2 linked regions of the Drosophila melanogaster genome follow. The protein of the gene in region 1 interacts with the protein of each later gene in a pairwise test. Each region holds a gene or a part of one and is shown on either strand. Other genes may lie near its edges.

Evidence for each region.
Region 2: the proteins of RpL12 (region 1) and Art8 interact in a two-hybrid assay, tested with the Drosophila melanogaster proteins (2 studies listed by BioGRID).

Annotation. Positions count from the first base shown.
Region 1 is NT_033778.4:24,058,620-24,062,628, forward strand, and holds RpL12 (ribosomal protein L12), read left to right. Parts: upstream 1-1,758; 5' UTR 1,759-1,825; intron 1,826-1,834; exon of another isoform or gene 1,835-1,893; 5' UTR 1,894-1,918; coding exon 1,919-1,955; intron 1,956-2,056; coding exon 2,057-2,130; intron 2,131-2,193; coding exon 2,194-2,374; intron 2,375-2,530; coding exon 2,531-2,736; 3' UTR 2,737-3,241; downstream 3,242-4,009. Other genes in the region: eEF5 (eukaryotic translation elongation factor 5), read left to right, coding at 1-72, 313-514, 577-648; RpL39 (ribosomal protein L39), read right to left, coding at 3,325-3,373, 3,579-3,682, 3,769-3,771.
Region 2 is NT_033779.5:11,009,212-11,013,259, forward strand, and holds Art8 (arginine methyltransferase 8), read right to left. Parts: upstream 1,876-4,048; 5' UTR 1,782-1,875; coding exon 1,743-1,781; intron 1,711-1,742; exon of another isoform or gene 1,687-1,710; coding exon 700-1,686; 3' UTR 610-699; downstream 1-609. Other genes in the region: Nup154 (nucleoporin 154kD), read left to right, coding at 1-166, 232-354, 416-548; dUTPase (deoxyuridine triphosphatase), read left to right, coding at 2,230-2,796.

The sequences.
Region 1 (4,009 bases):
TACTTCAAAGACTGGAAAGCACGGACACGCCAAGGTTCATATGGTTGGCATTGATATTTTCTCTAACAAGAAGTGAGTATATTCGCATATTTCTTCCTATCTGGTGGCAGCAGCATTTGCGGAGAACACAAAGGAAGCGACGCGCTGCTCTTGAATGTAATCAACGAAAAGTGTGCGCAAGCAATCTTATCTTGGACCAAAGTTATCAATAAATTTATGGAGGAAAATTAGAGTTCAACGCGGCGACGCCACCTCAAGCCAAATCCAGATCCTCTTACTTAACGCCTGCTTTGTCTATCGTCGTCTTTGCAGATATGAAGATATTTGCCCATCTACTCATAACATGGATGTGCCCAATGTCAAAAGGGAGGACCTTCAGTTGATTGCTATTAGTGACGATAGCTTCCTTACATTGATGACCGAGAGCGGAGATCTGCGTGAAGACTTGAAGGTTCCAGAGGGCGAATTGGGTGAACAATTGCGTTTAGATTTTGATAGTGGCAAGGACTTACTGGTGAGTTTGCCTCGACACCATATTATTATTTCGCAGAGAATAATTTAATTATACTTTTTCAGTGCACCGTTCTCAAGGCGTGCGGAGAGGAGTGCGTTATCGCAATTAAAACCAATACTGCTCTGGACAAATAGGCAAAATGTGTCGCTGTAAATTTCTGTTGCATTTACATCTGAAACAAATTTATTCAAAGATGCTGTTATAGGCTAGTTGGCTCTACATCTTAAATCTGGTTCTAACGATTGTAATTAATATAACAGAAACTCGAAGCATCATGTTTGAATAACTAAGTAACAAGATACACGTTTGCCAATAAAATTTTTTACCTAAACGTCATCCGTAAAACTATGATTCTCCTGTTTTTCATTGGGTTTAAGCTCTTTATTTCAGCAAACTTTATTCTAATTCGCACAGCTAAATGGGAAAAGTAAACAAAATGTTGGTCTGGACGCACGAATGAATGGCGTCACTTAGCATTGTGATGGTAAACGGCGGGAACCAGATGGGGTGACGCTACCGGTTTTGAATGGGTACAAGATGAACTTGTATTATTGACAACGCTACTGAGCTTTGCTACACCCCATTTAAAAGTGTAGTGTATCCTGAAAAAGATAAGGTACTCGGATATAGAGAATGGAGGAGGCATATTGTTTGAGGCAGGTCGGAATTTCGTATAGTACCAATTTATGTATGTACATGTACATATGTACGGTTTAAATGCCGTTGTTAAATAACATTTCAACATTGATGTACCGACTTTCGGAAAGGTCAAGTAAAAGTACAAAAACAATAAAAACAATTTTCATAAGTTGTAAGATTAGAAGAATAATCGATAATTTTTTAAGCCAAATGCCAATCAATCGATATACCAATTGTCTTGTAAATCGGTTTAGTAAGTTGATAGAGAAAATTCAAATAAGTATTTCTTCAGCTAGCAGATATAAATTACTTGCATAATCATAAATAAATATTAGATTGAACTAACAAAATTGAACTAACTGAACTAACAAGAAGATAAAAATATTTACAACGACCGCTATGAAATGTAGTTAAAAAAATGTAAATCTGAATTTTAATTAAACTTAAAATATATCAACTAGTATTTAACATTTTCAACAAAAAAAAAAGATTTCTTAAAGCCTAATTTCAAATTAAGAATAAATAAAAATATAAACTCATTACACTCGTTTCAATTCCGCGTTCCATTCGAGACACTTTTTATTCCGATAGCACTGGGCGATACATCACTTGCAAACGGTCCTCCCGGAAATCGATAGCTTCTTCTTTCTTTTTCTGTGTGTCTTTTTTGCGGTAAAGTACATGAGCTGAAAATGTCTCAAATAAAATCGGCGAAAACTAACGTAATCTTTGCCTTACAGCGACTGTTCAAGCCAAGATACCGCTATGCCTCCCAAATTCGACCCAACGGAAGTTAAATTGGGTAAGTAAGCGAGTGTTTTTGTGAGGAGTTGAGCTTCGAGCAAACCGTAGTTTATAATAGAGGATTATCTTCAATAACGAATTTCTGCACCCAAATTACAGTGTACCTGCGTTGCGTGGGCGGAGAAGTCGGTGCCACATCCTCCCTGGCCCCAAAGATCGGTCCCCTCGGTCTGGTAAGCATGCAAATCGGTTTGTTTACTTGTGCAATTCGCGCTAACAAAAGTGTCTCTCTGTAGTCGCCCAAGAAAATCGGTGATGACATCGCCAAGGCCACCTCCGACTGGAAGGGTCTGAAGATCACCGTCTGCCTGACCATCCAGAACCGACAGGCCGCCATCTCCGTGGTTCCCTCCGCCGCCTCGCTGATCATCAAGGCTCTGAAGGAACCCCCACGTGACCGCAAGAAGCAGAAGAACAGTGAGTATTGCCCGGCAATCCTGGACTGGACTTCCAATGCCTGTGCCGGGCTGTGGTGGATAATGAGGAGCTTTGCTTCCACCGCACTGTGCCCACATGCACTGGATGGTTCTGTGCTTGATCCCCCGATTAACAGCAGATATTCTTAATTTACAGTCAAGCACAGTGGAAACATTGGCTTCGAAGACATTCTGGCCATCGCCCGCGTGATGAGGCCCAGGTCCATGGCCCGTGAGTTGAAGGGAACCTGCAAGGAAGTTCTGGGAACCGCCCAGAGCGTCGGCTGCACCGTTGACGGAAAGCACCCTCACGATGTTATTGACGAACTGAACGAGGGCTCCATTGAAGTCCCCGCGGAATAAACAGTTTTTTAAACAGAATTAATAAATTGTACGCGATACAGTCTGTAATAATTGACCCAATCGGACAGAATTTTACTTTCGAGCTCAATGCGGCCGTGAATGCGATTTCAGATAGGCTAGCTAAATGTTAAACAAGAGGAAAACTAGAAGTGCATAATATTGCATCAATTCAGCAGAGTAGATTTGCCAATTAAGCAACGCAATAGGAAAATCTTTCTTAGTTCGGTTTAACAGTTGAATTCCTATTAGGCAGAAAACAATGTGCAGAACTCTTGCATTGTTAAAACAATTATATATTTGGAAGGTCTTTCCATTAAATGAGAAGTAAACAATTCGCACATGCCCCGCAAAAAGCACATGCTTGATAAGAAAGTGTTCAGTTTTCGTTACTGGAGAATGCTTTCGGTCACATTTTCCGCCTGGGTTTCCTGCGTTGCATTTACGAATGCATGTATGCCACCCCTTTCCCAAGATACAAATAAAAAGAGAGTATATTTAATCCGCAAATTGTAGACGAATTTATTATTTCATATTCTCGAAAAGATCTTCAGCATTCCACAAAATTGCGGAACTCCTGGAATCAACAGCTTACAGCTTCAACTTGGTACGCCTCCAGTGACGGCGCTTAGCGTTGTAACTGAAAGAAAAAGCGGAAAGTTGAAGTTAATATTAGAATAAGATTATGTTGCACCAATGATCTTTATGTTATTAAGAATATTAAAAATAAGGTAGTGACAGTACACTCAACAATTAAACGCACTTGCGTTGGGATACTTTGCCCTTACAAAACTTTTGCCACTGCAATACTAAACATTTAAATGGAAAACCAACACCGAACTTACCGAATAGTGTTGCCAGTACGTAGGCGAACCCATTGGGGAACGGATCTGTTCTGCTTCAGCTTCTTAGCCAGCTTCTGCTTTATTCTGAACGACTTGTGTGCAGCCTGGTGGAGAAAGAAGTAACGAACGTTTAGTATCTCGATATATTCAAAACATTTGATCAAAAACACAAATAAGAAAAATTTCCCACCATTTCGTCCAATCTTTTCAACGAGCCACACCGGAAAGAAAGAACCAGACCGGAAAAGAATACGCGCTGGTGGTGGGTTTATATCGATAAGTTCACTTATCACAATTTCATGCAATACGGAATGATGAAATAGAACGAAAAATATTTGAGGCATTACAAAAAATTATAATATAATATTTAAGACTTTTTTTTTATAGCAAGGGTGGTTCTTATAAAATTACATAAAAACTAAGTTTGTTTC
Region 2 (4,048 bases), on another chromosome or scaffold:
TCTTGGTAAGGGAGTATGGCGAGTCTGGAGTTTGCTTTCCCTTTGCCTTTCTCATAAGGGAACTGGAAGTTAAAGCCTGCCAACTGCGATTTCCCGAGGGCATAGTGCCGGAAAAACTGGTGAGTATGAATTTGGACATTGAACTGCTCCTGGAATACTATTCGAGGTACGTATTGAAGGGTTTTCGCAGAGATAAAATTGTTTAAAGGCTAAACTTTTAAAAACTTTCAGAATGATTTCAATGAACGAACGAGTGTGGGCCAACGAGGGTAATGAGTGGCATTTAATACAATCCGTCATACGAGTGGTCTCGCTTCTGGCAGACAACGCACAATCTATTTGGTACCGGTCAAAGTAAGTGCAAAAGTAAAATGCTAGCCGATACGATTTACTTACATTCACATTTAACTTGCAGACGACGAATTGTTGGCAAGGCTCAAGACATAGTGGCCGGCTGCCTGAATATTTGCTACCAAAAGCCCGACACTAATCGTCTTCAACATTCACTCAAGGAACTTCAGAGTCAGCTGCAGCGGTTGTTGATTTAAAGCCGTCGGCCTGCGTTATTTTAATTAAATTTTTGAAAGTGCTGGACTAGACGTTAAGTTTGACTGAGATATATATTGTATTTGTATTAAACATGTTAAATAAATTGATTTCCCCACAGATCGTTGTTCGGATTCCGAGATGGCATGTAACTCATGAGGTGTCCATCATTTTTAGATGAGCTTCCGTCAGAATGCACTTCGTCATGTGACAGGAGCAAGGCACTGGATGCTCCTCTGTGTTGGGGTCTAGCAAATCCACCTCCAGATTGTATTTACGCATATCGGCAGCACTGCGCTTCATTGTGATTTGAAATGCAATGGGTGACTTCTCCTCCAGATTTTCGCAGGATTCCTCGGGCAGGACGACTACACACTGCTTCCAATGCGTTGGCGGGGATAGCGGCGATGTGCTTAGAACAAAATCTTCGCCAGGAAACTGTACATCGAACCAAATGCAGAAGCCCTGGTGATTGCCCGCCTTCTGGGCTGTTATTACCTCCTTGAACTGAATGCTGTCCAAATCGCTGGCTTCCACATCCAGCAGATTCATCCAGTGAAAGACGACGCCCTCGTGCAGAAGATCTTGCGGATTCAGCTGTGTAATCTCCGGTCGGGATGACTTTTGGGTTCTGAGTTTTCTGGCAAACGTGTCCATTTTGATGCCGTCCACGTTGTGCCAATCATCGAAGAGCGATGGTACCGAGCAGGGTGCCACGAAAATTGTGCACTCGCTGGGGAACAGGAGTCCACCCTCCTTGAGGAACTTGTCCCGGGCCAGGAGAACCGAGTCCAACATGCCCTCGTGCAGCAGGTAGAAGCCCATCCACTCGGACACAATGATGTCCACCTTTTCCGCCTCGGCAGGCAGTACGAATTCCTCAACACGCGACTGGATCACCTTCACCACGTTCGTCAGGCCGTTATCCTCAATCAAATCCAGCGCAACTTTGGTGGCCACATTGGATGCTTCTACGGCGTAGACCAAACGGGCTCCTGCTTTCGCACAAAAGGCGGACAGAATCCCTGTGCCGGCACCAACATCCATTACGATCTTGTCCTTGAACAGATCCTTATTCCCCAATATCGCATTGTAGTAGGCTTCTTGCCGAGGACGATCCTTCAGCATGAGCTCGTGGATCTGTAGTTTGGTCACTATGAGTACAGTTTCACAAGAAGATCTATAATCTTATTTACCTCCAAGTTTTCATACTCATCGAAATAAGTGTTCGCCATGATTTAAAGTTGCAGTTATCAACACATTAACATTAACGCATCAAGTGAATTTTTCAAAACAACGTGCTAAATAGAGGTGTGTTAATCAACTACAATAGTATCGATATATCGATAGGGTTGCTTATCAGGGTTGGTTGTGATTGGTCGTTTTACTTAATAAAATCAATTTGATTTATTTATTAATGCCTAAATTATTGTTTTATTTATTATTTGTTTAATTAAACTCAAGGCATAGTTGTATATATGTTTTTTAGAAATGCAAAGCTGACTTAAGATTTTTTGGTAGATTTTCGGCGATTTGTACTTTTGGTATCTTGCAACACTGGAAGTCCGCCAATTTTCCGACGCTGTGTTAAACCGCGTTATTTTCAGACCAGAATTCTGCAAGTAAGCTGAAAAAAGTCTCTGTACTTTCGAAGCATTCCTGTAATAACTCAATTTGCTCCAAATGCCATCAACCGATTTCGCCGACATTCCAGCTGCCAAGAAGATGAAGATCGACACGTGCGTCCTGCGATTCGCCAAACTCACCGAGAATGCTTTGGAGCCGGTGAGGGGATCCGCCAAAGCGGCGGGAGTTGACCTGCGCAGCGCCTACGACGTTGTGGTGCCGGCACGCGGAAAGGCCATTGTCAAGACCGATCTGCAAGTGCAGGTTCCGGAGGGCTCCTACGGACGCGTAGCCCCACGATCCGGGCTGGCGGTGAAGAACTTCATTGATGTGGGCGCCGGTGTGGTGGACGAGGATTATCGCGGCAATCTCGGCGTCGTCCTGTTCAATCACTCAGATGTTGATTTCGAGGTGAAGCATGGCGACCGCATCGCCCAGTTCATTTGCGAGCGTATCTTCTATCCGCAACTGGTGATGGTGGACAAACTGGAGGACACCGAGCGCGGCGAGGCAGGATTCGGTTCCACCGGAGTCAAGGATCTGCCGGCAGCCAAGGCGCAGAACGGCAACGGAGAAAAGGCTGCCGAACCGGAGGGAGCTGCTCCGGCTCCTGTTGCTACGTAAACGAGGAACTATTGCCGCATTCTTAATCCCTTCATGGTCACTATCAAAGAGTTTCATTCTGTATCCTTAAGTGAAATATGTTAATGTATTGGTATATTTTTATCTATTAAAACCGCAAATCTACGAAGAAATGTTTCCCATAGTGTCATTAGATTGACTGGTGGATGGTGGATCACTAGATTTCCTGGATATGCATTGCATACTTTTGGCATGTTATTTCTAAAAGGCTTTTATTTTTCTTTATTTAAAAAATTTGTGTTAGGTTTTTCAGGCAGCTTAAACAATTATTCCTCACTTATGAGGTAACTGGTAAATAACTTATATCCTTTGAATACTTTTTTATGCACGCAATTTCTGAGCTAAATATTTATATCGATTTTCATCAAGCCAACCAATTTTAACTAAATGTCTTTACTAAGGACCTTTTACTAAAATGTATCAGGAGTAATGTTATCGAAACATACATAAATTATTTACAATTCATTTCCATATTTAGGCAATGAATGGGATGTGTCTTCATTTTGGCTTTTTCAAAAAATTGCACTGACCATCCATCCAGAATTATGGATCTAGTTTAAGGTTAATATACATACATATGTACAGCTGTAACTTGTATTGCATATTTAAGTAGGCATGAAGGGCCGCGAAAGGTTAACGCTTGGTGCTAACTATATTCTAGTAACTAGAAGTACTTACTTCCAACGGAGTATGTATACAAACCGCTTTAGATCTTCATAAAAAAGGAGTTTGCTGAACAGAAGTCGAGCAATTATGTTTCTGCAAGAGGAAGCCGACTTGGCTTTATGGGTTTTCAAGTGGCTAGGGATACTTGAACCAACCGGACAGGCGCAGTGAGTTATGACCGAGTAATGAGAGCCAAGAAGCGCCAACCGGCGATGGCCCACAATATCAGTTTGCGTGTCTCAAGTGCATTGCTGCACAATTTACGCGGCCGATTTTAATAAATTCAATGACTCCAATTTGTAATTAGACGCTGGAAGGTGCGCTGCGTGCTTTTAATTGTTTTGCAGCCATCCTTGGTTGCCTTTTGGCGCAACGGTTCCGCTTGACCCGCGACGCATCGAGCGCTCCGGAGGTCAGCCGCGTGCCCATAACGCCCCAGTTGGAGGCATTCGCCGCCCACCGATCTGCACTGTGCAACATTCAACCAACTTGCAGTGAGAGTTGCGTTTGGGTTTGTATGATAACTGGTATAATTTATTTGCTTCAGCTTGTGAAAAATAGCTATAGT